4 linked regions of the Rhinolophus ferrumequinum genome follow. The protein of the gene in region 2 interacts with the protein of the main gene of each other region in a biochemical or structural test. Links are inferred from orthologs where the notes say so. Each region holds a gene or a part of one and is shown on either strand. Other genes may lie near its edges. The genes, in order: GRB7, KIT, MATK and TEC.

Evidence for each region.
Region 1: the proteins of KIT (region 2) and GRB7 form a complex in vitro, tested with the Homo sapiens proteins (3 studies listed by BioGRID and IntAct, with this or other methods). The link is inferred for Rhinolophus ferrumequinum from reciprocal best matches to the Homo sapiens genes KIT and GRB7.
Region 3: the proteins of KIT (region 2) and MATK form a complex in vitro, tested with the Homo sapiens proteins (2 studies listed by BioGRID). The link is inferred for Rhinolophus ferrumequinum from reciprocal best matches to the Homo sapiens genes KIT and MATK.
Region 4: the proteins of KIT (region 2) and TEC form a complex in vitro, tested with the Homo sapiens proteins (2 studies listed by BioGRID and IntAct, with this or other methods). The link is inferred for Rhinolophus ferrumequinum from reciprocal best matches to the Homo sapiens genes KIT and TEC.

The regions. Positions count from the first base shown.
Region 1 is NC_046304.1:36,331,460-36,339,052, reverse strand, and holds the start of GRB7 (growth factor receptor-bound protein 7), read right to left. Parts: upstream 3,014-7,593; 5' UTR 2,838-3,013; intron 2,752-2,837; exon of another isoform or gene 2,729-2,751; intron 2,718-2,728; exon of another isoform or gene 2,571-2,717; intron 1-2,570. UniProt on the Homo sapiens protein: Adapter protein that interacts with the cytoplasmic domain of numerous receptor kinases and modulates down-stream signaling. Promotes activation of down-stream protein kinases, including STAT3, AKT1, MAPK1 and/or MAPK3. Promotes activation of HRAS.
Region 2 is NC_046288.1:16,906,025-16,913,710, reverse strand, and holds the start of KIT (mast/stem cell growth factor receptor Kit), read right to left. Parts: upstream 3,008-7,686; 5' UTR 2,923-3,007; coding exon 2,856-2,922; intron 2,421-2,855; exon of another isoform or gene 2,166-2,420; intron 1-2,165. UniProt on the Homo sapiens protein: Tyrosine-protein kinase that acts as a cell-surface receptor for the cytokine KITLG/SCF and plays an essential role in the regulation of cell survival and proliferation, hematopoiesis, stem cell maintenance, gametogenesis, mast cell development, migration and function, and in melanogenesis.
Region 3 is NC_046301.1:59,688,775-59,695,938, reverse strand, and holds the start of MATK (megakaryocyte-associated tyrosine-protein kinase), read right to left. Parts: upstream 3,005-7,164; 5' UTR 2,864-3,004; intron 2,762-2,863; exon of another isoform or gene 2,554-2,761; intron 2,503-2,553; exon of another isoform or gene 2,420-2,502; intron 1,305-2,419; 5' UTR 1,253-1,304; coding exon 1,244-1,252; intron 893-1,243; coding exon 779-892; intron 683-778; coding exon 567-682; intron 487-566; coding exon 267-486; intron 1-266.
Region 4 is NC_046288.1:8,156,359-8,163,395, reverse strand, and holds the start of TEC (tyrosine-protein kinase Tec), read right to left. Parts: upstream 3,020-7,037; 5' UTR 3,001-3,019; coding exon 2,899-3,000; intron 2,469-2,898; exon of another isoform or gene 2,449-2,468; intron 1-2,448.

The sequences.
Region 1 (7,593 bases), on a different chromosome or scaffold from region 2:
CTTAAGAGAAACACAAACAACCCTGCCTCTACACACCGCCTCCACTCCCGCCCCCAACCTTCCAGCCTGGGAGGAATAGGGAAGGCACAGGGCAAGGAACACAACAGGGGATGAGGAGGAGCAAGGGAGGAGGATACAGGGCCTGAGGCTCCTCTGACATCATCTCTTCCTCCTCACCCTCGGCCTACCTCCACATCTCCAGTCCAGGTGGGACCTGCAATCTGTCCCCAGTCCAGTCACCACCACCCAACCCAGGAGCACCCCAGTCCGGACAAGAGAGAAGAAAAATCAGGCCTGGATTTAGAGGCCCATCGGTAGTGGAGCCATCCTCCCAGGGGCGTCCCTCACTCACCCAAAGAAAGCTTGCATTGCTCCCTCTACTATATGGGGCCTCCCAGGCTTTCATTCTGCTGCTGCTGCCCGGCCCTAGTACCCAGGACTCAGCCAGCTCACGGGGGATGAAGGCCCTCCTACACATTCTCCTAGTGTCCTGGCAAGAGGTGGACCCCAGGAGCAGGAGCAGAAAGTCAAGACACCCAGGAGGACAGACAAGCAGACAAGGAAAGGTCCAGGAGGGAGAGCAAAGGAAGGGGCTCAGTATCCTACTGGGAAAGGGGAAGATATTCCCACCATTGATCCTGATAGACACCAGTACATCACCACCAGAACACAACGCTTCCACGAGGAGGACTAGGGAGAGGGTTTGCAGAGGCTACCCCTCTTGGAAGCCAGAGGCGAGGGGGGGGGGTCGGGGAGGAGTCTGGGTCCTCCCCCATCCCAGATGGAAGAGGAATCAGGGCAGTGTTTGGAAGGGGAGAGGGCAGATTTAAATCAGATTAGTATGGCCTCAAACTTGGGTTTGGTCTTCAGATCCCTCCACCCCGCCTCTTCCAGACCCTTCTGAGGCAAAGAGAAGAGTGGCACAATCAGGACCAAAGAGATGAAATAGGAGAACTGGGGTCCCAGCTGTGGGGCCTGGACAAGCCTCCTTCCCAAGAGAGCTAAAGCTTTCAAACTGGGGCCTTAGGAAATTCGCTTCTGCTGAAGCCAAACCCCAGAATCAATCTGTCCCCTAAACACTGCAAGTCCAAGCAGCGGCTTTCCCCACCGCCTCTCCTGCCCCGGCGGCTCCGGCCCCACCCTCCTTCCCTCCCTGCCTGCCTCCTGCCTCCTGCCTCCTTGTTTACTTCCTGAATCTTGCCCCACCTGGCTGGCCCCAAGGGCGGGTGGCAAGGCCCAGTGTTTAAGGCCGACAGAAAACAAGGCCACGTTCGGTGCTTCCCAGGGTGGGGGGAGGGGCTAGCAGGACAGAGGCCTGGGCTGGGGCCCTGGACGTGGAGGGAAGACCGGGTCTAGCCCAGAACTTCATGCCCCGCCCCCATCGCGATTGATTGTAGCGGGGAAGGCTCAACTTTTGGGGGAGCTCTTATGGTGCAGGGCCCAGGTGAGGAGGCGGGGAACCCCTCTGTGACCCGGAGTTGGGGGGAGGGCCCTGGACCTTGAGGCCCCGCCTACTCCCTTGCTCAGAAAAGAAACGCCCAATGGGAGAAGGGGGGGCAGCTCTTTTAAAGTTTAATTTGGTAAGAATGCTAGAGTGTCTGTGGAGTTAATCATTACTGGCTGCTTGCCTTCGCGGAGGGCCCCCCCGGGGGGTATCAGGGGTGAAGGGGAGAGCAGAGTCCATGAAAGGCAGACCAAGAGGGGGCATTCTTGAGTGGCAGTGGGGTTAGGACACCTTTCAACCACGGACAGGTGCATTCTCCATCCTCAACGAGCCAGGGAGACCCAGACTGGGACCTGGGTCTTTCTCCGGCCTATTCAAACAGACGAGACCATCTGCCTCCCCCCCGACCCCCCAACACGCACACACACTCTCCCCAGGCCGCGCTGTGCGGCTGACCACCCCAGCAGCCAGGTCTCCAGCCTTTCCAGCCCACTTTGTTCTGAAGCCAGGAGGGACCCTGGACCTTCCCCGCCCCCATTCTCCCATTCGAGGGCAGGACCCTGTGTTCCTGAACACAGGTACAATCCGGAGAGACGAAGCTCTAGCAACGTAGAGAATCCCTCTTTAACTGCCCTCCAAACGAGACCCTCCCTCCCGTCGCAGAGATGTCGGTCTTTAGTAAAAGACTTGGGGAAACTTAAACTGAGGTAAAAATCAGGCTGAGCTAGGGAGTGACTCCGGGGCAGCTTCCTCGATATTCGGACCCCCCTCCTAGCTCGCCTTCTGAGAATGGGGGTGGGGAGGGGCTAGTTTCAGCGGGAAAGCCGCGTCTCCCGGAGTAGAGAATCTGACATCGAACTTCCCCGTCCCCATGTGCTAGTTGATCCGGGGGGCGGGGGGAGAAGGTTGGGTACAGAGAGGGAAGGAACGGTTGGAGAGGACAGGAAATGAGGATAGGGAAAGGCTGAGGGCAGACGGTGAGGAAGGGGAGGGATGGGGGGCTAGAGGAAAACAGAAAGAGAGGCCGCCGGAGTAACACAGCAGGAGGCCGAATCTTCCCATATTGTCCCCGGTCCTGACGGTGCTCCCCACCCTCCCAAGATGAAATGCCCGCTTTGGTCCTTACCTGGACCCGGGGCGTTGGTGACACCTGGCTGGGGCCTCCGATTTGGGGAGGGAGACGCCAAGCCCTTAACTACCTGTCCCCCTCCTGCCCCCGCCCTTGGCCTGACATCACTGAGGGGGGAACAGGAGAGGGAGCCAGTTGGCCGCCCGGCCGCTCACCTGGGCAGCCAGCCAGCTCCTGGCCCTGAGACGGGCACAGCCTGGGGCCCCGGTGCGGCTGGGGGGCGGGGTGCAGGTTGTCGTCTGGGACTGATCTCTGCCCCCTTACCTGTAAAAACCTCAGCAGGAGTAGCAGGACACAGAGTCCGAAGATCGGCACAGTCTAGGGACCCTAGACACCTGGACTTGATTTCAAATCCGCTCCCTCTTCTGTACAGGTGGTAGGAGGGTGTCCCGCCTTTGGATGTAGAAGTGAGGGCGGGGGGGAGGGTGAGCCCAGTGTGTACCGGCTCCTGGCGCAAGGAAACTAAAATTATCTTGGGCAGGTGGGGGTGGGGCCTGGAGGAGCGGCATGGGAGGAGGAAGCTTAGGCTGGGCGGGGACTCCCTGAAACTGTACGCCGGCTGGGATTGTTTTTACCCTTCTTAGCCTGGCAGCAGGTGCCAGGGGAGAGGCGGAGACAGTCGAACTGAATAGCCTCAAGAGCTAAGACCTCACAGCCTGGGAGGGAGGGACTGGGGGACGAGGTGAGAGGAAACGGCCCCGCCCACTTTTCCCCTTGCCCCCACCCCCCAAACCTGGAGTGTTCATTGGCCAAAGCTGGGGGCCTGCTCTGGGTCCCACCCCCTGGGGCAAAGGGCGCTCGACAAAAGGGGGCCGCCAATCAGAGGAGTGTCCGGCAACTCGGCCTGCCTCTTGACCTCCAGCCACAGCCTGGCCCCCCGGGCTGCATCCTGGCTCCTTTGAGGCACGGAGGGTATGTCCTCCCTTCTGAGCAAAATGCAGGGGCTTAGCTTCTCCTGAAATTGAAGGGGTAAGTCATGGTCTCTTGGTAGGGAAAGCTCTGGCCAGGTGCCAGGGTACTCCCCTAGAGCGCTCACTTTGGCTCTCTCCTTTTGCACTAGGCAAACACTGGGGTGTGGAGGGGAGGACCTGGGAGGCTGAGATCAAAGGCAGAGGCCACCTCCCAGCCTGAAGTGGGTGACAGTTGGGTAAACAAAACAACCCATAGGGTGATAAGAGGTCTGCCCTGGGAGACCATGAAAAGTGGCTCCAGCCTCCACTTTCTCCAAACTACATTTTCTCCGAAAAACCAGTGTGAGTGGACTAAGCAAAGAAGTGGGGGAGGGGGTAGGTCACCTGGGCCATGGAGTAGCTTATGCAAAGCACAGTAGACAGTTCACTCAGTCATTCCTTCATTCAACTAATATTTGTTAAGAATCTATTCTAGGCCAAACCCATGCTTGGTACTGGGGATCCAGTGGTAAGCAACAAACACAGGCCGCGCCCTTGTCCTCCTGTGGCCCAGTCGGGAGACTGATGCTAATCAAAGAATTATACAAATAATAAGAAACAACAGGTGACAAACGATGCTGGGAGAATGACTCACCCAGGGAGTTAAAGAAGACTTCTCCCTTGAGGTGACATTTGAGCAGAGGGGAAGCTGTCTGGGGCAGGGAAGTGGCTGTGGAAGGTGTGGGGAAAGGCAAGTGCTTTGGACTCAGCTGTGTTTCTCAAAGTGTAGCCGGTGACCACCTGCCTCTACATCTCCCTAGGCTTGTATGAAAAACAGATCCAGGTTCCCCTCCCTACCTCTGAATCTGTTTCTGGGGCCAAGACCCAGGAATGTGTGGTATTGACAAGCCCTCAGGTGGTTGTTCTGTGAACCAGGTTTAAGAGCCATCCATCCTGTCTGTCCAGACCAGCAGGAACTATGTGTGGGCAGAGGCCAGACCCTGCAGGGTCTACCTGGGCTTAAATAGAGGCACAGAGGAACAGGCAGATCTTTATTTTGGAAAGATCACTCTGGATGTTGAAGGATAGTTTAGAAAGGGAAGCCAGAGGACTGAGTGCTGTAGGATTCCATTAAGGCTTTCTGGAGGGGGTGAAACTAAAACAAGCAGATCTGGGGTTGGGGTGGGGTGGAGGGAGAGGGTCACAGGGACCTGTAGGAAGTAATGGACTGTTATGTATCTTGGTGTTGGTGGTGGATATACAACTGTGAGTCAGAACTCACAGAAAGGTACACTCAAGAGGGTGAATTTTACTGTGTATAAATTGTATCTGAATTTTTTTAATTAAAAAAAAGAAACAGAGCCGGCCCGGTGGCTCAGGCGGTTAGAGTTCCATGCTCCTAACTCCGAAGGCTGCCGGTTCGATTCCCACATGGGCCAGTGGGCTCTCAACCACAAGGTTGCCAGTTCAATTCTTCGAGTCCTGCAAGGGATGGTGGGCTCCGCCCCCTGCAACTAAGATTGAACATGGCACCTTGAGCTGAGCTGCTGCTGAGCTCCCAAATGGCTCAGTTGGTTGGAGCGCGTCCTCTCAACCACAAGGTTGCAGGTTTGACTCCCGCAAGGGATGGTGGGCTGCACCCCCTGCAACTAGCAACAGCAACTGGACCTGGAGCTGAGCTGCGCCCTCCACAACTAAGATTGAAAGGACAAAAACTTGACTTGGAAAAAAGGCCTGGAAGTACACACTGTTCCCCAACAAAGTCCTGTTCCCCTTCCCCAATAAAAAAAAAGAAAGAAAGAAACAAAAAATAGATGTATGGATCAATGGAACAGAATCAAGAGTCCAAATATAAAACCTTACATTTCTGGTCAATTGATTTTTGACAAAGATGCCAAGACAATTCAGGGTAAAAGGATAATCTTTTCAATAAACGGTTATGGGACGAATGAATATCCACATGCCTAAAGATGAATATAGATCCTTACCTGACACCATGTATGAAAATTAATTCAAAATAGATCATAGACCTAAACATAAGAGCTGAAACTATAAAACTTCTAGAAGAAACCAATGGAGAAAATCTTTATGATCTTGTATCTCACATACAGCAAAAGTGCAGGTGACAAAAGAAAAAAATTGGTCAATTAAACTTCATCAAAACTAAAATTTTTTGCCTTCCAAAAGACATTACTGGAGCAGCTAGTTAGCTCAGTTGGTTGGAGCGTGAGCTCTTAACAACAGGGTTGCCGGTTTAATCCCCACATGGGCCACTGTGAGTTGCGCCCTCCACAATTAGATTGAAACAACTACTTGACTTGGAGCTGACGGGTCCTGGAAAAACAGGCTTAAATAAATAAAAGTTAAAAAAAAAAAGATATAACTAAGAAAATTAAAACAAGAAACTTGTCAAACATTGGGAGTAAATATTTACAAGTCATCTATCCAGTTAGGGACTTTGAATTTAGAATAAAAAATGCTTACGAATCAGTAATAGACAACCCAATTAAAAATGGGCAAAATAGGGCCAGCCCGGTGGCTCAGGTGGTTGGAGCTCCATGCTCCTAACTCCGAAGGCTGCCGGTTCGATTCCCACATGGGCCAGTGGGCTCTCAACCACAAGGTTGCCAGTTCAACTCCTTGACTCCTGCATGGGATGGTGGGCTGCGCCCCCTGCAACTAGCAATGGCAACTGGACCTGGAGCTGAGCTGCACCCTCCACAACTAAGACTGAAAGGACAACAACTTGAAGCTGAACGGCACCCTCCACAACTAAGATTGAAAGGACAACAACTTGACTTGGAAAAACAGGCCTGGAAGTACACACTGTTCCCCCAATAAAGTCCTGTTCCTCTTCCCCAATAAAATCTTAAAAAAAAAAAATGGGCAAAATACTTGAATATATATTTTTCCAGATAAGATACATGAATGGCTAGTAAGCACATAAAAAGATGCTCAACATCATTAGTCATTAGAAAAATGCAAACTAAAGCCACAATGATATACCACCTCACACCTACCAGGATGGCTATAATCAAAGAGATAGGCAACAAGTGTTGACAAAGATATGGGGAAACAAATTCTCATATATTTTGCTATCGGGAATGTAAAATGGTACAGCCACTTTTTAAAACAGTTTGGCAGTTTCTTAAAAAGTTGAACATAAACTAACCATTCAACCCAGCAATTCTACTCCTAGGAATCTACCTAAGAAACGTGGACACACATGTACATACTCTTTGTATGTACTTACATGAACGTCCATAGCACCATTATTCAAAATAGCCAAAAACTGGAAATTCAAATGTCTATTCATCGGTATTGAATAAACAAAAGGTGGCATATCCATACAATGGGATACTAGTCAGCTACAAAAAAGTAACAAACTACTGGTAATACTACAGCATGGTTGAATCTCAAAAACTACACTGAATGAAAGAAGCCAGAAGCAAAAGACCACATATTGTATCATTCTATCTGATATACGAGATGTCCAGAAAAGGCAAATTTATAGACAGAAAGCAGATCAGTGGCTGGATCTGAGAGATGAATTGACTGCCAACAGGCTGGAGGGACCTCTTGAGCTTGATGGAAATGTTCTGTAACTGGATTGTAGTGATGGTTGTACAACTCTATAAATCATTGCTTACAAAATGGTTTTCCTGGGCCGGCCCAGTGGCTCAGGCAGTTGGAGCTCTGTGCTCCTGACTCTGAAGGCTGCCGGTTCGATTCCCACATGGGCCAGTGGGCTCTCAACCACAAGGTTGCCAGTTCCATTCCTCAGTCCTGCAAGGGATGGTGGGCTCCGCCCCCTGCAACTAGCAACTGGCAACTGGACCTGGAGCTGAGCTGCGCCCGCCACAACTAAGACTGAAAGAACAACTTGACTTGGAAAAAAGGCCTGGAAGTACACAATGTTCCCCAATAAAGTCCTGTTCCCCTTCCCCAATAAAATCTTTAAAAAATGGTTTTCCTGATACTAATATAGATAGATAGATAGAGGAAATAAATAAATGGAAAAACAATGAATGGTTTGAAGAAATCCAATGAATGGTTTAAAGAAATGGTAGAGTGGGTGACCTGTTAGTATGCTATGGTGGGCTATGGTGGGAAGCCAGGAAGAGACAGGG
Region 2 (7,686 bases):
ATAGGTATTCATTAAATAGTTTCAAATGAATCTCACTTTACAACTGATTCTGGTAAGTCGTGTCAATAGATATACAGTTGGGCACATGGGACCAACCTCAGGCTTCACTGCTGATTATTCTGGGAACTGACTTGTTCTCAGCCAGTTCTTCCAGCTATAAAAACGATAGGGGGAAAAAAAAAACCGATAGGGATGGTGACAGTACTGCCTCTGATGCTTGTTGAGAGAACGGGAAATGTCAGGTAATGGTCCCAGCACAGGGCCATGCACACAGTTTCCAATGAAAGAGCAACAACTATGTACAACACACACATAATGTGAAATTTCAGGCGCCTAGAAAAACATATTGCAAGGGCACAGCATACATGATTTATAAAGTCGTAAGAACAAACGTGTGGATGAGTGGGAAAGGCCAGAATGGGGATAAATGACTTATCTGGGATCCCTTTATAAGACCATCATATTATTTCCAGCAGGATAATAATCCAGAATGTGTCCAGCTGCTGGGAATGACGCTAGCCTCACACCTGCAGGAACAAGGGGAAGGTTATGATTCACTGCTCCCTGCAGGTTCATCCAGCTGAGCACAGGCGTTGTAAATACTGGAGGGGGAGTTGCTGCCAAGATGGTACCTCCTAGCCCTCAGAGTGAAACTGTAGGTGAGCACATGTGGACTGAGGACAGGAAAGCACAAGCCACACATCCCTGCTTTAGCCGGGGGTAGATCAATAGGATATGACCAAGTGGTTGGACCCTGTGACTAGGAGAGGCAGAGGAATTTCAAGGAGGTAGAAAGGAATCAGGTAAAGAGTTCAGAAGAAGTGTACAGCCTACACTCAGAACACTGGAAGAGGAGAATTTTGGACCCAAAGGATCCTTCACAATGAAGATGCCTCACTGTCCTCTTGAGGATACTGGGCCCCCCAGAATTTAAGCGACCTGCCCAAGGGCACACAGCCAATAAATCATTGAGAAAAGAAAAACCAGAGGGCAGCACAGAGGCTTTCTCACTACACCATACTGCGCCTCCCTCCCCCAGAAGCCAGACGGTAAAATTCCCTTTGCCAAAAAATCTATTGGATGGAGCAGGCTAATTATGAGGAAGAAGGAAGCAACTGATTCATTTAATTTTTACAAAGAGAACCATTCTGTGTGGTTTATCTTTCTAGTGCCCTACTGCGTCCGGTTCACATACCTTAACTGAAATTAAAACTGCCACAGCACAAAGACCTAAGGACCAAACCTATCATTTGAAGCTTAGGCGATCAAATCCATCACGGAATCCACTCACTGGTGATCCTTCCTACCACAAAGGGGTCCAGATGCAAGGCCTCTCTTCCCCCACAGGAAAGCCCTCACAATGCCTTACAAGACCTGGAAGACGGAGGCTGCATCTTGAGACTTCATGGGAAAACTGAACGGTAGTCCAGAGTCCCACTATAGTTCACTGCGATGCTTGCTGCCTTTGGAACCCCTGAATTCCAGTTCAAACTCACTTTCTAGCCATCATCAGGGTAGCCTTAAAGGTTTTTTGGGTTTTTTTCAGTGACCTGGGAGAGAGCAGTACAGGGGTTGGTTGGGCCACCTGCAATGGTTCACGCACCAGCAACACCCAGAAAAAAGGGAAGAAGGGAAAGGAATCTGACTGAGGGCTTCCAGAAATCCTCCTCCTCAACATTAACACCTAAGTTCCCGCGCAGATATAACCGGATTTTCACAACAGCTTTAAGATCCCAGGAGGATTTGCAGAAAGTTCCACTCCATCTCCCACCTACCCCATCCCCACCTCCATCTCAGGCGGCCCTTAAGTATAGCTATCACGTGGAAGGGGGTGTTGTGAATCTCAGAATTCCCAAAGAAAACAGGGACCTGCGATTACAGGTCGCAGACCCCGATTCGAGGGGCTTGCAGAGCCCCGCCAGCCTGGCCGGGCTCTCCGGCTGAGCGCTGCAGACGGCCGGGGTCAGGGACCTCAGTGTCCCAACGCACCGTCCCTGTCTCTCCCAAGAACAGGCTGCAAACGCAGCCTCCGGCAGCACCGAGGCGCGTGGCAGGAAAGAAACAGCACCGCGGCAGAAAAGGATAAGCCTCCAGCACGAGATTTACAAAAGCAAAAAGTCTGCAACCTAGCGGCTGCTTTCCACACGCCCTGGCGCCCAAGTTACCTCTGCAGCCGCCACATCAGAATCGCACTCGGCGGACACCCGGTGCAAAAGCATAACCCGTGGGCTGGGGGACGCCGCGGCCTTCGACTTGTGTCCACGGGTGGCGCCACGAGCAGAGGCGGCAGTGGGTCGGTCCCCAGCTCTGGGGCACAAAGAGCGCCAGGTTGGAAAGCAGCAGCCGCAGAGCTAAAAAAAAAGCTCTCCAACTTTGCCCTCGGCGTGACTGAGAACCTGCGGGCCAGTCCTCCAGTGCGCCGGTCACACAAGCGCAACTTTTAACAAAAGGAAGAAGCGGCCGCGCCACGCACCGCGGAGATAACGCTCGGGGTGCAAACCCGGGACTCGCCCGCCTCTGCCCCTGCGCACTCTTCGCACAAAAGCAACCCCAAACTTGCAAGCAGCCCGCGCCCTCAGCCTGCACCTAGCTCAAGCCTAACCCCACTCGTTGCCCTCTTGCCTGGGAGACCCCAGCTCAGCGCCCCTAGCACCAGCGACTGGGGGATCCTCCCGCAGGTGAGCGAGGCTGGGCGCAGGAGAGTCCCCGGGACGCCTCGATCTGCCAGGAGGCTGAAACGCAGGGGCACTGTGGGCCGGCGGCCACCTCTCCGGACACACCCCAGAGAGCTGCAGCCCTCAGGGGCACAGGCAGCGGCAGGGGGCGCGAACCCGGTGTCCGCCGCGCTCTCCCACCTGTCTGGAGGCCGAGCAGGAGAAGCAGGACGCAGAGAAAATCCCAGGCGCCGCGAGCGCCTCTCATCGCGGTGGCTGCTCTGGGATCGGAGCTCCGTTCCAGGTTCCAGCTCTCGCCCAAGTGCACCGAGCGCGGCAAAGCCGAGCCCCCAGAGCCGCGAGCGCGGAGCAGCAGCCCCTCCTCCCAGCGCCCTCCCTCTGAGCGCCGGCCACGCCCCTTCTCGGCGCCCCTCCTCGCCTCCCCTCCCTCCCTCGCTCCCTCCCTGCGGCGTTTGGCCCTTGCTCTTTCGACCTGGTAATCCCGTGGGGGTTAAACCCACGGGGAGAAGGAGGGCGTGCCAGCCTTTGCTGCCCGCTTTCAAAACCGGAGCCCCTCTCCACCTCTCGTCCCCTGTGATGTGATCGGTCTACCAGAAGCCGTTCCCGGACGAGGGTGGTGCTGCCCGCGCGCTTTGTGAAGCTGGGCACCACGCGCACATTAGGACACGGGCCCGCCACCTGGCAGGTGCTCCCCAGATAATAAAGGTCCGCCGCTCTCTCCTCGAGCACGCCCGCGAGGGAAGAGGCTGGACGCCGCAGGTGGTGGACGTGGTGCCGGGACAGGAATTGGGGCGCAGTGGAAAGGGGGTTAGGAATTAGAGCCCGATATTCTTTTCCATTCCTGTTAGTCGAGGGAGACCAGGCGCGGCGCCTGGCACAGCGGTAAAAGGCTCAGCCAGGGCGTAGGTAATTCTTTATGCTCGATTTCTCCACCTGCTCCCTAACCTGTAACAGCACAGTTGGTTTCTATTCGTCAGAGTGGCCTCAGCCCAACAAGCTCCTGCTGAGACTTCTAGAGACTGGGGCTTTGGAGTGGGGAGGGGCGCCTTGCGAAGTTTGCTCCGGGATCCACAGTCGTGCTAAAACCCTTTGGGCGCCTTTTTTTTTTCCCCCCTTTCCCTGTATGGTTTCTCTGCCTCTCTATCAGACGACAGTTATAGGGGTGGGGATCCGAGGGTTCCTCTTAGCTGCCTTACAGCTAAGGCAGCTCTAAGGGAGCAAAATAATAGTAAAATGATTCTCTTAAGCCAGGTGCCACTGCCTAGGAAGTGCTTTACCCAAGGTAACAGTACTATCTGTATAGAGTTTTATAGTTCCTTCTTACACTGAATATTATTTCATGCTCACAATAACAGTTTTGTGAGGTAGGTAGAGCAGATACGTTTATTATTTTATTTCTAAAAGTGGTTCGATCACTTTTAGAAATAGCTAACAGCTAACAGAGGAGACCCAGTCATTTTAAGAATAATTCGAGGTATGATGAGCTTTCCCTATGCATTCTAATAACACAGTAAAACACCCCTTCAGAGAGCTTCAGGATGGAAACTAAATGGGAAGAGGGGGGTTGCCCATCAGAAAGTGATGGAATAATTTAGATATACTTAGACTCTTCTCTACAATAGCATCCAAAATTTGTAACTACCCCCCCCACACACACACACTTTATTTAATATTGAAATCTCTCCTGTCTGATGTTGATATAGGACCTAAGCTGGTTTAAGAAAAATGATTTTCAAAGCTAAACAAACAACTTAAAAATTGTCACTACTCGATCAATGTGTATGATTGCTTGTCTAAATTTGTTTATTCATTCAACAAGCATTTAGGTGTCTACTGGGAACAAAGAGGCACTATTGTTAATAGACAGATGTGGGCCCTACCACAATCTTTACAGTCAAGTGGGAGAACCACACCCCAGTATCCTAGCAAATGGTTCAAGTTGTACAGCTAAAATTCAAAGTTCTCTGTTTGTGTTTTGGGCCATTGGACCGTATCTTTTTCTTAGGATGACAGAGGTAAAAGCTACCACTCAAAGCAATCATGAGTTTCTGGGATCTTGATTTATTTCTAAAATCCATTTTGTAGTGAGAAAAAATCACTATGGGTTAAAATACCAACAATATGCCTTAGAGAAAATTTACAATTTTCTCCTTCAATCAACTGAGATTGGAAAGGATAACAAGTCTTCAGAAGAGTGGGTGAAAAGAGACCATATTGCAATTTAATTCTAAGCAGGAAAATTCTATTAGGAAAAATACCAGAATAGGGAATTTTACAATGCTGGACCGTCATTCATATTCACCATTCAACAAACATCTATTGAGCACCTAGGTAGGCACAAGACCTACAAAAAATCAATTAAGACAAAGTCCCTGTCTAGAGGGATTCATAGTCCTGGGGGAATAAAACATACCCAAATAAGAAACTATAATATCTTCTACCAGAGCTCATGTGCAGCCAGTACACACCACGTTGGCCATATTGATTGGTAGAATGTTGAAATCCTTCTGCACTCATTGGGGAAAAAAGCTGCCACTCCCCTAAATATCTAAATGCTGCCTAAATCCAACCCCTTTCTTTTTTTTTTTTTTTCTCATCAGATCCAGCAATTAAAGGTTTAATACTGGGCAGAGCAGAGATCTCCAGTCTCTGCGCCTTTATGGTTCATACCCCCTGCCAGCTAATGTACTATAAGGAGGCATCTAGAAGAGACTAGGAATGAACTGTTTTCAGAATGAAATATCTTAGAACATGTCCAACAGAAATACTTACAATGATGGAAATGTTTTATATCTCAGGATGTATGGGACCGGTTCTGTACTCTATTTTGTGATAGCCCTGGACCCTTTCATGAATTATACTTTACATTTTTTATTGTATTTATAATTGTATTTTTGACTGCAAGTTGTAGAAACCCAGCTTAAATTGACTTAAGCAAACAAAGAAACCTAAAATTTATTGGCTTTTACAACTGAAAAGTCCAGGCAGACTTTCCCAGATCCAAAAACTGAAAGTCATAAGGACTCAAAAGTGGTGGTGGTGATGGTGGTGGTGGTGGTGATGGTGGTGGTGGTGGTGGTGGTGGTGGTGGTGGTGATGGTGGTGGTGGTGGTGGTGGTGGTGTGTGTGTGTGTGTGTGTGTATACGTGCATTTTTCTCTATCTCCATCCGTCAGCAGTACTTTCCTGTGTTGCTTCCCTGTATTTGTGAACACTCAGGCAGCTCTAGGCTTACAGCTCATTGAGCTGTTCTGCCCTCGTGAACATCTATAAAAGTACTGACTTATTTTAAGTCACATGACCATCTGGAACCAGTTACTGAAGCCAGATGGCATATGAGGATTGGCCTCTGCTGGGTCACATGCGCACCCCTGGAGCCAGGGTTGGGGTCCACTTCACCCACATCACAAGGCCATTCTTAATGAGGAGGGGTGTGTCCTCACCAAAAATTTAGGTACTGTCACTGTAAGAAGGAGGAATGATGCTGGACAAATACAACAAAAGATATTCACTCTAGTCTCACACAGCCCAAACCTCTAACTTGAAAATTTTTCATATTTCTGATTATAAAAGTAAAGATGCTTATGGTAAAAACTTTAGAAAATACACAAAATGATAAGAATGAACCAAAACAAAATCACCCAATATATAATTAGCTGAAAAGTTCATTTTGGTGTGTTTCTTTCAAATTTTTTTCCTACGTATTCTAAGGTTTTTTTTCCCTTTATATAATTTCAGATTTTATAATATTTGCTAGTTTTCTATCCAGCTTTTTCATTAATCATAACATACGAGTAAGCAGTCATTAAAAATTTTCTGGAAAAATAACATATAATGGCAGTATAATGTTCAGTTGTATATATGTACCATAATTCTGGATGTTTAATCATTTCTCTATTGTTTTCGGTTTTTTTCCCTACACAAATTACTTGGTGATGAATATCTTGGTGAATAAAAATCTCTTGCCTCTGATTATTTTCTTAGGATAGATTCCTAGAGGTAAAATTACTACACCAAGGGTATAATCCTTTTCAAGTTTACTACTTAATAGTTTCTGTTTTTCCAATAACCATTAGAACTGGCTAGGTGTTGTCACTTGTCCATAAAGTGGGATAAATGAATATATGATCCTTATTGCTAGACTCAATACTAACAATAACCACCTCACAGTTTGTGAGGCTGAAAGAAGATGAAGCATGCTCTCAGTTCAAGCTTTCATTCAGTATTTATTGAACATTACCTATGTGCCAGAGGTGCTACAATAATTGCTGGCAATGCGAAGTTCAACAAAATACAGATGCTGCACTCATGAGTTTTGCAGAGAAAGAAGAGAGACGCATAAGGGGGTCAAAGATTACATTATTATATGTACTTAAGAGAGCTCTATGCACACCGTGATGTTTAAACACAGAGGAGCCCCTAAATCATATTGTGCAGTGATCTCATGAGGCTCGCTCAAAGACGTGACAACTAGATTGGAGGGATCAGGAGGAGAGGAAGGCAAAGCAGGGAAGAGAACGCAAGGGTAGGAAGCACACATGCAAAGGGCGAGAGGCATGAAACAGCACTGACGAATAGGAAGAACCACGAGGAGTCCGGCACAGTTAGGGAAACGGGGCCTGTCGGGGAGCGGGAGTGGAGACCGAGATAAACAAGGGCCATTCATGCCAAGAATCATGAACTGCACCCTCTGAGCTATGGAGAGTCACTAGAGTTCTTTACAATGAGGCCAGAGATGGTAAGATTTACATTTTGGAAAGATAGTGGAGAAGCTCAGTGAAGGATGAGTTGAAAGGGGCCAAACCTTGAGGCAAAAATAAACCAGTGAGGAGCCTAATGAGGTGAACCAAGGGAGAATGTGAACTGCATTAAGTCTGTGGAGGTGAGATTGGTGAGAGAGGATGAATGAGAGAGAACTAGGCCTTGATCACTAACAGTAGTGGGGAAGATGAGCGGGAAGAGGGACTCAAGGATGGTGCCCTGATTTGTGGTATAAGGTACAATGTGTGTGT
Region 3 (7,164 bases), on a different chromosome or scaffold from region 2:
GAAGGAGAGGGGTTTGGGTCTCACAGGATGTGTTGGGCTGGTTTGCATGGAAACAAGAAAGTATGGAGGCTAGGGGGGAAACAGGGAAGATGGGGAGGTCTCTGGATTGGTGTCAACTTGGAGGTTCCTGAAGGTCCCTGAAGGAGCCACCCCAGTCCTTGGAGGTGGGACCTAGAGGACTCAGACCCCCTAGAGAGTTGGTGGTCCATGGGGACCAGCTGCTTCTCTGCACTGGGGAGCATGCGTCTCTGGGTTCTGGGGCGCACCTCCACCATATCCATGAGGTTGCAGAAGCAGACGGCCTCGTCAATGGTCAGGTGGCCATCGCGGTGCAGCACGCGATAGTGGATGACATCTCGGCCGAAGCTCACGCACAGCACGTAGTCACCTGGATGTCGCACTGACTCGCGCACCAGAAACAGTCCATCCTCAGGCGGCTGCAGCAGCTGCACCGCCTCCTGGCCTGAGATCTTCCCATGGAACCACCTGTGGGGGCAGAAGGGCAGGCTGGACTGGGCTGGCCAGGCCCTCCTGGCCCCCCCATTCCAGGACGCCCCACAACTCACGGCATGAGGCTGAGCTTGGGGTCAGTGGAGAGGGCCTCACGCTCCCGGAGTGCGCCGGCTGCCAGCAGCCCCTCCTGCCCGCTGCTGTGGTGCTTGGCGCGGTACCAGCTCTTGCTCTGCCAGGGAGGGAGCCAGGGGTCCGTATGTGTGTGTTTGTGTGTGTGTGGGGGTCCTGTCCCCAAACACACCCAGGCCCTCTGGCTACTGCTCACCTCACAAGCCTCCAGGATGGTGACCACGTCACCCTTGCGAAAGGCCAGCTCTCCAGGCTTGGGGCGCATGTGCTCACACTTGGTGATGCATTGGGTACCTGGGGCCCAGCGCCTCTGGGTGAGGGGGTGAGGGAGAGGGGCAAAGGGGACATGAGGGAGATGCCCCGGAGAGAGAAAGATTGGACCGAGACAGAACAAAAAACAGAAAGAAAGAGCGAGAGGAGGAGAAAGGACAAGGGAGCTGCCAACAGAGATTTATTAGAGTCTCAAACACCAGGTGCTCAGTACAGGTCAGGAAGAAAAGGTGAAAGAAATGCAACACCAAATAACAGAAAGCCTGGGAGACAGCAGCTACAGGGACAAGGGTCAGAGTACAGTCCTCCTCCCTGTGGAGCTGAGGTCCTGTGGGCGTGGACTGAGCTGAGGAAGGGCCGAGGCCACAGGCACCCAGGTCGAGGTACTCACCGTGGGCATCCTGGCTAAGATGGGTGGAGGAGTGCCAGGCACAGAGGAAGCGAGGGCTCACCTGGGGAGGAGGCAGAGACCAGCTGGAGAGCCCAGATTCACCCCATCACTACCAATTCCAGCCCAAGCCGGGTCGGAGGGACAGCCAGGGGCAGAGGGGCTCAGGTATAGCTTCCCGAAGGCCATTTGGGAAGGTGGCCTTTACCCAGGGGAGTTCCTTAGCAGAGTCACAGCCATGAAACACCAGCAAGGAAACCGTGGAGCCTCGCCCCACCATGGTTCCCAAAGGGAAACTGAGGCATAAGGTGGGCACAGAGCTAGTGGCCACAGGCTGGGGAGGGGACAGGTACCTAGCTCAGGCCCCAGCAGCCCACACAGCACATGGGGAGCTTGGTGCCACCTAATCGACCCTGGTTCTTCCTCTTTTCTGGTGAGTGGGCAGGAACAGGGCAGACAAATACAGAATGATTCAAGGTCATTCCCAAGGAACTCTGACCCAGAGGTGGGGCGGAGGCTGTGGAGCCCTGCTGGGCTCCTCTGGCCACCAGCCAAACCTCTCTGACTCCCCCACCCCAACCCAGGACTGACACACACACTCCTTCATTGCTGCTTGGTTGGGGACTTTTCCACCCCTTGCCACCCCCATCTACCCTACCGCAAGTGGCTGGACAGTGGGGCAAGTTGCGGGGTGAATCTTGGTTCCTCCAATGTGCACCCCCATAAATCTTCAGCCCTACGTGTACTCACACCTATACTGATCCATGTACACACAAGCACATACAGAAACACACAGGGCTTGGACACAGGTGGACACAGGTACCCACAGGCACCCAGGTGTGTAAGCAAAGGCATGCCCCCCTAGAGACAGGTGTGCACACGCCTCTACATGTGTGTACACATGCGCAGGTGCTGGGACATCTGGAAACGTGTGCATCTGCCCACCCACTAACACACACAGACCCATACTTGAACACCTGGGCACCAAACGCTGGGCCACCCAGGCACGCAGAGCTACACACAGGGCCGCGCACACGCATCTCCGCCACACGCGCACATGCCTCCACGTGGACGCGCTGATACACACACCTGGGGGCTCGCAGACGCGCACACCCCCACCCAGACTACTCCCCACCCCGCGCTTGATTGCCTGTAACCACCCCCACCTCAGCAGCGTACCCGTCGCGCGCCCCGGACGTGCACACTCGAGCGCACACCGGCCCCTCCCGCGAACGCCCGGGTCCCCATGGAGCCCTCTGGTTCGCTTCCACTGCCCCTGCGGTCTCTACCCCCAATCCCGTCACCGCGCTCACCTGCTCAGGGGGCGTCCCCGGGCCGCGCCCCGCCCCCGCCCCCAGGAGGGCCCCCGCGTGCCAGCTGCGCACCCCCAAGGCGGGCCCCGCTGCACAACTTGGTGCAAGTTCCTCCGTTTCCTCATTTTGGGGGTGGAGGAGAGGTAGGGTGGCCGGGGAGCGGGAGGTGCCGCGGCCAGGGAGGATCCCGCGGGTCCTAGCGCCGGCCGCACTGCGGTCTGCTCTGCGCGCCGCCGCGGGCCCCTCCCCGCCCTGCCTCCGCGGTCCCCGGCACCTCCCGCGCGGCGCGGGGGGCGCTGGAGACTCTCACCGGCTCCACGCCTCTCCCTGGCCTGGTGCTGAGGGGCGCGCACCCCAGCTCATCCGGACAAGCGGAGGCCTTGGAGTGTGGAGCAGGTGGCACACCGCGCGCGCGCGCGGAGTGGAGTGAATGAGCTGCCGGTCGGGGAGATAAGCAGGCGGCAGAGCCCAGACGACAAAATGGGCCCTTCGGACTCTGCCTTTCCAACGCCCTGTCACCTCCTCTGCCAACGGGACCTCATTTAATTACCTGTTGCTGTAGAGAGCTGTTGATGCCTGGCACAAAGAAAACTCCCCCAAAATGTCAACCGCTGCCAGTATCGTCATCATTATCGTTAAAGGAAAATTGGGGCCACAAGGGAAAAAATCGTGTGGAACTGGAAGCCTCCTGGCGGAGCAACCCTCCTTTGGAGAATAATGGTGGGTCCTGAGGCGGGAGCCAACCCAGCTGTGCCAGAGGCAGTACTGCCCCACTCTTGACCTCCCTTTCCTCCTCTGAAGGGCTGGGCAACACGGGCGTCCCCTCAGAGGACAGCTGGATGAGCACTGAATGGCCACGCACTGGGCCTGGCCTCCAGCCATGACTCCATTGCTTCTAACGGCAGAGTCTGCTCGGACAAGGGTGGAGCTGACCTTGGAGGGCTCTGAGTCAAGATGCCCAGAGAGCCCTGCTTCCCAGCCACTGGGCACTGCTCTGGTCCTAGGGTTGGGACCCTGCAGCCAGCATTCAGTCAGGGTGATGGGGGCCTACCATATATAGCAAGCCATCATCACTTTCCAGAAATAGAAACCCAGAGTGAAAATAGCCACAGAGGAAACCCACAGACAGCACCATTAAATGCTCAGCAGGGACTGCTATGGCCCCAGGCCCCACAGTGGAGACCTGCCTTCTTTGTTCAGCAAGGACAGGAGCCCATGTCTAAGAGGTTGAGATGCCCTAGCACCCCGTGGAGATGTTCTCCTTGACGTAGTCAGAGAGAAGGGAAGAGGGTCAGAAGGGGCTGGCTTTCTCCCTCTGCGAATAGGTACTTAGGGTCTGAGTAACACCTACATCCTCCCCAGGATGCCCAGGGGTCCATGTCCCACATTCTGGAAGGCCCTACCTCTGAGTGATCAGAGGAAGCAAAGGTGTTGAGACTGAGGACTGACAGATTTAAGGAGAAGGTGTTAGGTGCCCGAATCTCCAAGGGTTGGCCTGGGGAACAGGGAGCCCGCCCCCCATGGGTGTGGGCATGGGGCATTGAGCTGTGCATGACTTTAGGGGGATAGATTTGAGTCCATGGTTAATTTGGGTCAGAGCTACAGAAGGGGTGAGCTCCCCAATCCTAGAGGCATCCAATAATTGGCACTTTGAATCACAAAGACTCAATGGGTCTTCCAGTCCCCAGTGATGCAACACCCGTTTTCCTGCCTCCTGCTAGGAGCTGAAGGACGTGCCTCTCCCTTCTACCTGCCTGAAGCCAGTTGGTAGCCACACCATCGGGTCGGATACCAGAATTCCCCAGTCCTGGGCTCTTCACCCTCCACATTTCAGTCCTGTCAACTTGAGTCTGGAAATTCTTTGACCCACCCACCCCCAACCCCTGGACACCCATCTGGTGCAGGCTGGTGATAGAGCAGCCCCCTTTCTGGTCTCCCAACTGCCTCCAGTTTTTCTCCTTGTTACCATTCATCTTCCACTGCATCATCAAGGGATGAAAATGTGACTGTGGCCCTCTCCTGCTCTAAATCCTGCTATAGCTCCCACTGCCTGCAGGACAGAGCCTAAAACACTCAGTCTGGCATTCAGGGCTCTTCATATCTGGCCCCTCCCTGGCCTCCCTGGCCTCAGTTGCTTCTGCTCCCACCAAGCACCCAATAGTTTGGCAACTCTGAACTGCAGGAGTTAGCATGGTTTCGCATGGGCTGTCCCCTCTGCCGGAATGTGCTTCTCCCATCCAGATGGCATCTCCAGCTCATCCTTCACGCCCAGCTGAACCGACATCATTTTTATGAAGCCTTCTTCAGACACCTTTACCCTTCTCAGAGCAAGTCTAACTTCTATGTCCTGAAAGGACCCCTAGCTAGAGACACTAGCCATCTCATTTCACCGATGGGCACGGATCTGGCCTTGGGAACTGAGACCATTAGCCTGCCTGAGAAAAAGCCAGCCCAGAGGAAGCAGAGCCAGGAAACAGACTGAATACCACAGGAAGAATTCAAATCGTTGGATTCAGCCATGTCTGGAGGTCACGCTATGCCTAGCATTGGAAGCAGTTCTTTGCTTTTTGGTTGCTTTCAGGAGGTTACTGCCACTTGTAACCAAAAGAATTCCTAATACTGAAAATGGGACCAGAGTGGGGTGCTGAAATTAAATCTCTATGATGTGGAATTGGTGAGTCAGATTAGGTTGCCCTAAACCCAGCTAAGAAGAGGAATCTCTTCCCTTTCATGCCCTGGATCAGGTGGTGCTGTCTTCTGTCACTTGCAACAGAGAAACCCTGATGAACCCACCTTGTCCCCTGCCTGAATGCCTTTCTTTTGTTCATCCGAATCTCACTGTTCTTCGCATCTCACTGTTCTATTTTGACTGTTGTGATTTGCATAACCCTCTGTTCTTCAAACTCCTGGAGATTTTGGGGACCCATCCTCTCATTTTAGAATTGGAGCAGCTGAGACCCAGAGAGGCAAGGCTACTTGCCCATGGTAACACTGGGGCTAGAAGTCAGGCCTGCAGACACACCCAATGGAGTTGTAGACTTTTCAAAGGCAGGATATATTTCTTATTCTTTACAAATATGGACGAAAATCATTATAGGCAATAAACAAAAGAAGTCATGTGACAGGCACTTTACATAATGCATCAGTTAAAATTAGGATTGGCTGTGGGGGATGGAAGACCCCAAGTGTTAGAGGCTTGAATTACTAGGTAGAAATTAATGCTCTTTGAGGGAGGAAATCCTGTGTATGTCAGGGGCCCAGGCTCCTGCTATCTTGTTGCTCTGCCTTTGTCCACACTCAAACTTCATTCTCTTGATCTAAGATGGCTGCTTGAGCTCCAGCCCTCTCACCTATTGCATTCCAGTCAATAGGAAGCAGGAAGTTGGCAGAAAAGGGTACATTTCTTCATTTAAGGACTCTTCCAGTGAAACCCCAGGAGCAGAGGAATCTGGGAAATGTAGTCTTTACCCCAGCTCATCCTCCATGTCCATGAAAACTGGCACCATTTTTATGAAACCTTCTCAGACATCCATACCCTCCTCAGAGCAAGACCTCACTCCTATGCCCTGAAAGGACCCAAAAGGGCCAAGAGGGGGAGGCAGGAGCACTGGCATCCTCTTTCTCAAAGCTTCCAGGTTTGCTCCCACCTCATGGCCTTTGCGTTAGCTGTGCCTTCTGCCTGGGACACTTCCCCAGACATAACCAACATTATAGCAACCCTACAGAATATTTCAACCTTCTGACATGTTACATTCTCTTTCCTGTAGCTCTGTGGAGCTACCATGGTCTGACTGACCATATGTTTTACTTGTTTATCTTGTTTACTGGCTGTGTCCTTTCTAGAACATCAACTCCCCAGGGCAGGGATTTTGGACAGTGTCGTTCACAGCTGTGGTCAGTTCCTGGCACACAGTAGTATTCAGAAAGTATTTTTTTAAGCCAGTGAATATTGGGGAGGGGAGAGGGAATGAGCAGTGCCTGTCACCTGTGAGGCAAGCACTCTCATTGTACCCATTTCACAGATGGCAAAGCTGAGGCTCAGAGAGTGCTGAGGCTCACCCTATGACACAGGAAGTGGTGGGCTGGGCTTTGAACCCAGGCCCATCCAGCTCCAGGGCCCACATGCTGGTGCACGGCATAGTGGTGGGCACATGACAGACCACCAGAGAATGTGCCCATAATTGAAATTTCTGGATCTGGAGGGCAGGCAAGACAGGGCAGCTGCAGCCAGATGTGGGGATGGCTGCGCTGGCACCATGGCCCCAGAGGAGCCAGTGGCCAGATCAGACTGCCCCAATTAGCACACCTTTAAATTTAGCTTTCTCTTCCCTGCCAGGGGACTCAGGGATTCAGCGGAGGAACACTCTGCTCTTTCGAGGAAAAATGCTGCATCGCTCATCTTGCAACCAGAGCTGTGGTCGGCTGCATCATTCTTGACTTGGGGAACAAGGGCTCCTCCAAGCGACCTGCTTTGGGGTGCCAGGGGTGATCTGCCGTTAATGGGGGAGGCTGTCTGCTCTCCCCCCACATCCCTCGCCTGTTCTTCCTTGTACTGCAGGTGGAGCCAGGCATATCATTTCCCTGCCACGCTTGCAGGTTCACTGTGCGTAA
Region 4 (7,037 bases), about 8.7 Mb from region 2:
CCTGAGGCATCTGAGGAGCAATATAAAAAGTTGGCCAAGGGTTTTGGGTTGAAGTAATGATGAGTACATGAAAAACTAGGCAAATGAACAAACAAAACAATTACTAACTCCACGGAAAACAAAAAGTTGTGCTTGGCTTAGCTATGAATACTGATTTAACCAAAATTACTGTTTAACGATTATAAGGATGGGAAAATAAGGAAGCTGTGGTTGTGTTGGGGATTAGAGGGAAAAAAAGACAGCCAAGTCACTGTCGTCCACGTCATCTGCCAGTCATCTTCATGACTTGTGTTGTGGGAAGTGAACAGATAGTGTTTCAAACTAAAAGCTCAAGAAGTATCAACTACAAGCAATAAGTAACAAAATAACCAATTCAAAGAATTATGAGTGGTTGTTTCTTAAGAGAGAAAGAAATGTAACCAGGATAACACTTTAAAACTAAAACACAGAACAAAACAACAACAACAACAAAAACTCATTGGCTTCTGTGCCCACACATTTTTACATTTATTTGCTTTTTCTTTGTTTCCCTAACAACAATTTGTTTGGAAAAATTCCATCCTGTTTCCTCTAAACACAAGAAAATGTAACTTTCCACATCTAGACCACAGTAGCTGTGGTCATCAGAGCTGTGAGTTCTGAGATATCAAATGAGTTGGGAAAGTTAATAGTTATAATCCAATCGATGGAAGGACTGGTTGAACTAGGGCAGAAACAAAAAGACAAGACCAGATGGAGGCAAGTTTGAAGATGAGGCAACAATTAAGCCCCTCTCTTCTGGGCTTCTTTCCAACAAAGCTATTCTTATGGCATAATCACATGGTACAGGGTAATTTTCCTATTGCCAGTGACCATGGACCAATTTTACTCCTTTCTCACAGGTCTGAATGCCCAATTTATGACCCTAAACCAACCAAGGCAGCTGGCCCCCAAAGCGGTTGATCTGGGTTCAACCTGGGTTACTCAATTTGCCTATGAAGACTGGATAAGAGGAGAGCATAGTAAGGGATCTGAAACAAGTGACACTGTCATCAACAGATATTTACTGAGCATCCTTAGCAAACCCAGCACCAGGCTGAGGATCAACTCGCCTATCAACTATGTGGACCAAGTCACCCTGCCCTGAACAAAAAGGTGATTCTCCCTAGGGGTGGGAATCTGGGATGGATGGAGTGGGGTGGAAGGGATAGGAAGGATGGAGAAGGAGCTGAAAGAGCTGGGCCAGAGAGAGGAGGCACCAACTAGGTCAACCTGGAGAAACCTGCAGGCTCAGAGGCCCAAGGCCCAGGCTCCTAGCACTCTGAATACTCAAAGGAAGGCAGGGAGACCAACAATTCTTCCCCAAGCATAAAAGTGGCCAGACACCACCCACAATCCCTCCAACCACCCTGTCAAGGGCCAACTTCAGGAAGCAAAAGTCACGATTCTCTGAGCTTTACCATAAGATGACAAAGCAGAGTCCCGGCCCTTCAGTAACTAGCTGCTGAAAAAAACATTCTTATTCTTGATACAGAATAAGGGAAACATCAAGTTAAAAGTGCTAGAGCATACATTAATATTCTATATTCTTTCCTATTTGAGATGTGAAAATTTTAGTTCAAGGACCTACTTGCGGCAAAGGTATTGCTGACTAGAACACAGTACTGATTTGCATGTGTGTAACACTTGCCTTACAGTTTCACTTGCCTTACACAGTTCCACAAACCAAAATGTACACATCCTTGTGAGAAGACTCCAGATCATTAACACAAACCCACTGCAATAAGCATCATGACTTGGCAAGTGTAGTAATATATTGATCAGATGAACTGGAGCATGGGGAAAGTATAGGTCTTTCCTAGACACGTGAAAATGTCACTAAACTAAAAACTAGTTTCAAATACTTAATGAGAAAATTACACACTTCTTTTCTCCATATAAATCATAACATTCCGTACTGCATGAGATTCTTCCTGACTAAGGAGCTACTAGTGTCACAAATTAACCTGACAAATCTTGAACTTATTTTGGAAACCCACTTGTTTGTAGGGGTTGATTTTTCCTCCCCAGCTCTTTAGGGGAGAATCATCTGGAAGAGAGTTAATTCTCAGAATTTCCTAAAAGGAAAAATAGGCACTCACTGGGGAAAATGCAGGGTATATGCTCAAAAAGTAACTATTTTGGATAACCTTCAAACCCACTTAGCCTCCAGCCATCCAATTAACACCGAGATCTACACTTCTCATCAAATATGCCAGTTTCCAACGAATGGCAGTGGATGAGACTGTTTCCAAACCTGAATTTAGGAGTTAAAGTGAATACTCCTGGGTCGATCAAGGCCCTAGTTTTAATGATATACTCCCTGAACCCCTGTTTTCAAGATTTAACTACAATTTCCCAGACTAAAAGAAAGAAAAAAGTGTGAAGTTGGTGGGGTGAGGCACTCGGACCCGGGCAACTGTGGAATACCTGCGTCGCTTCTGCCAACTTTCAATCAAGCCTGCGCTGCCGCCCCAGCAGAGAGGAGGAATCTACCCAGCCACGCTGCTGGGAAGCGAACCCAGCCCTGAACTTGCCGCGAAGCTGCCTCGGCCCCGGGACCCCGGGAGAAAGGGGCGGACGCTCCTCGGGAGAGACCAGCGCCGGAGCCCCGGAGGCGGAGGGGCGGCGGCCGCCGAAACGGCCCTACCTGCGCCTTCTTCCTGGACCGAAGAGGACAGGATCCCGCACTGGCGTGGCGCGTCACGCTCACCGCGGCGCGGAGGTGGGGAAATCCCTCCTCGTTCCACGATGGTCAGTCTTGGTTAGTCTCGAAGCACGTGGAAGCCACCTCTCACCGCACGCATCCCCGTCCCGACCCTTCCTCGCCCGAAGTCCTGCAGTCCCCGGGGTGCCCCCGAGGGCCCACGGCGCCCTTACCTGGCAGGAGAGCGCAGGCTGCGCGGAGCCGGAGAGAATGCGAGGTCTGGCGGGCGCGGCGGAGTCCGGAGCTCCGGGCCTCTCAGCCCCGCCCGCGACCATCCCGCCCCGCCCCGTCCCCCGGTCGCTCCGCCCCCGCTCCCTACCGCGGGCGGCGATCGGCTCCCACCGCCCTGCCACGGTTTTGAGACCCGAGGCCTGAGTTCCGGGGAAGTCGCAAAAGTGTCCCCTGTGTTCCCGAACGACACGCAGGGACTCCCTAGTCCCGGGCTTCCTGTCCCGGAGAACCGCCCCGCGAGAGCTCGTACATCCCTGGCCTGGGAGCACCCAGAGCGGTGCCACCTGTGGGTTACTGGTTACTCTGTCGGAATTAGGGACCACACCTCCTCTTCCGCTAAGCGGTGGGGGGCCAGGCGGATGACAGGGCAGTGGAGCGAAGCGACGAGCTTTACCAAAAGAGTAAGTCTTCACTGTCACACCTGAGGCCGCGGAGGATATCTGACACACTTAGAGGGCCACCTGCACTCATGTTCATGTATTAACACTTCTGTCAAACTCATTGAAGAGTAGAAATCAGTACTTATATAAAACTGACACTGTGCCAAGCACTGTTCTACATACTTCACATATATTACCATTCTATAAAGTACGTATTTGTTATCAGAATCCCTCATTTTTACATGTGGTAAAAGGGAGGCGTAGAGGAGAGTTAAATAATCTCCAGAGTCCGCACCCTTAACCACTGCTATCCTGACTCTAAAATCTGAGTGTCTACCATGTCCCATGAACTCTTCCAGGCTTAGGGAATACAAAACAGGGCTCTGCCCTCAAGGAGTTCTATTCTAGTGTAGGGAGAAAGACAGTAAGTAATCAATAAGCAAGTAAAAAGAAAACGATTGCATATGTGGGAAGTGTCTTGACTAAAATGAAGCTGAGTGATAGAATTGAGAGTGAAGGGGGAGGCCACTTTAGATCTGGTGGTCCTGGAGGCCTCTCTGAGGAAGTGACCGTGGAGCTGAGAGCTGAATGACAGAACCTGGGCAGTCAACATGAAGATGAAAGGAATGGCAAGTGCACTAATAGTTATCATACTTCATGCCTGTTTGGGACTTAAAAATATACCTTCCTATAGGCTCTCCTTTAATCATGCAATAAACCTGAGAAGAAATCTGACAAAATTCCATTTTATAGAAAAAAGAAATCTAAGGGTACAGAAGTTTAATGACTTACTTAATTAGAAAAAGCAGGGGTTTGCGGCCAGGTGGCTCAGGTGGTTAGAGTGCGAGCTCTGAACAACAGGGTTGCCGGTTCAATTCCCACATGGGCCAGTGAGCTGCACCCTCCACAACTAGATTGAAAACAATGAGCTGCCGCTGATCTGCTGGAGGGCCGGCGGGATGGCTCAGTTGGTTAGAGCGCAAGCTCTCAACAACAAGTTTGCCGGTTCAATTCCCACATGGGATGGTGGGCTGCGATCCCTGCAACTAAAGATTGAAAATGGCGACTGGACTTGGAGCTGAGCTGCGCCCTCCACAACTAGATTGAAGGACAACGACTTGGAGCTGATGGACCCTGGAGTAACACACTGTTCCCCAAGATTCCCCAATAAAATTTAAAAAAAAAAAAAAAAAAGCAGGGGTATGCGAAGAGGGCACGGATTTGAACCAAGGCCTTCTAACTCCAAATCTTCTTTCACTCCGGTGAGGACCCTGAACATAATGTGACCTGTCCTCAGAATGAATCTAGTAAAATTTCTCTTTTGTGATATACTGTCTCCTCCCAGGCCCAGTCTCTCCTGCCTTTTAGCCCAGTCAGATACTCAAGTTGACTGATTGACATAATTTCCTCAAGGGCAGGTGTTCTTTGAAAGAGCAGAGGTCGGGAATCTTCTGAGATTGTGTGTGTGTGTGTGTGTGTGTGTGTGTGTGTGAAGAGTGTGTTATAGTTATGTAATTATGGTAATAAAGTCAGTTTTCTCCCAAGAAAAATTCATATATATATATACATATATATACACACACATACACACATGCACACATATATGTATGTGTGTGTATATATATATATATATATATATATATATATACACACACAAGGGGTTCCAAAAAATGTACACATTTTAAGAGATGTTATCTATGTATTACTTTTCGAAGTTGAATTGAATTATGATAGCAATGTGTAGTATGATGTTTGCTCAAAAGATGGCATTAATCAAATGAATGCCAGCGTCATTCACTGTATTACAATTTTAATACATTTTTTTCCTTTCTTAAAATGTGTATACATTTTTTGGATATATATATATATATATATATAAACTTTTATATATATAAAACTTTTAGAAATATAAAAACTTTTAGAAAGAAATATAAAAACTTTTAGAAAGAAACTTTTATATATATAAAAGTTTATATAAAATTGAATGATCCCAAAAAGAACTGTCTTAAGGGTTTAACTGATGTCGTGATTAGAATTGATTTCTAACTCACTTTGCCTACGCTAGCTAGGTGACTCTGGTGGCTCATATTTCTGACTTAATGGTAATGAGGCTCTCCAAGTTTATGAAGTTTGACTGAAAGCAAAGCAAATCCTTCATAAAGTTTAAAATTAAAAGAGAGGAAAATGTCTATATTGTCCCTCTCAGTTCTCAAGAAAACCAGCGAGGACTGACCCGTAAACAAAAACACCCAGATAAATATAATTTGGTATCAGTGATAACCAGGGTAGTTTGCAAAACATTATACTGTTTCCTGAAGGAAGCATTCATTACATTATTAATCAAACAGCTTCAGTAGGTGGTTTTCACAGGTGTGTCATCCCCAAACAATGTAATGAAGAGTACTGACAATTGTTCTCAACGGGATGTTGTTGAAAAGAAGGAAAGAGAATTTCAAGTAATTCTATTAGAGAATTTCAACTACATCAATGAAAGGTGTAAAACTGAACTCAGGATGTGGTAGGCTAAAAAAAATAGTTCACCCTTTATTATTTCTTATGTGGAAAGTTCAGTAGCTTTAATAGGAAACAAGAGTATAAAGTTTAGGCCTATGTAACTCAAACTTTTCTATTGGGTACCCATCAAAAGAAAGAATCTGGGGGTGGACTTAGAAAGATTTCTCCCTCTTCTCCAAGGAGAAAATTCAAACAATATTATTATTGCTTTCTTTAATAAAATCAAGATACAGAAAAAAAGGCATTAGAGACAGGGGCTCCCTTCTTACAAGATATTCCCGTGGCTTCTATAAAATTTGTATGTTTAAGTGAACAATATCAGACTGACATAATTTCAGTTCCTTGAGAGAAGAAAATGCCTCTTTTTACCTTGCATTTAAATTCCACATTATGCATAAGACGATACACAGAATCAACCAGAAAGGTTTGTAGATAAAGTGGTGTTTGTATTTGGAGCTTCTCACACTCTTTGCTTTGTAAATCTCTGGCTTCTTTTTGTAACTTTCTTCCTATCCAAAAGGGGCCTGGCCCATTCTAGGTGATGTTTCTAATGTTTGTTGAATGAATGAATGATGACAACATACAGATAATACAGACCTTATCAGTTTTTTATAGAGAGTCTGTTCCTACATAAAGATGACTTCATTTCAGTAGTATGATAAGCCTGCCTTTCTTTTCATCATGTATTGAAAGTAGTTGCTTTTTTGGAACTACATTGAAGAAAAAGTTTTAAATCTTGGACACAAAATCAAAAATTATACTCCTGGGAAAAGTTGCCAAATAAATCATTCAAAAGAAAGAAAAAGCATCATATACAAAGATGTTTATAAGTTCATCACTAATAATAATAAAATATAATTAAATGTCCAATAACAGGGAAATGTTTAAGCAAAATATGTCAATAGTTTGGAATGTCAGGCTGTCAAAAATAGTTTTTATGTTAATAAAATAGAAATATGGAGAAAAACTTGCGAACACTATGTGAAAAAAAGTAGAACACAATGCTTTATATGTCCTGTGATTGCAATCAAGTAAAAATTATGTGGGAAGAAACTCGTTGTGTTGAAAATCAGAACTATGATTAACAGTTATTAGGGTGTTCCTATGTGCCAGGCTCTGTCTCAAATGCATTAGATTAATTCATCTAATACTCAATGTGTGAAGTAGGTACAGTTCTTATTTACTTT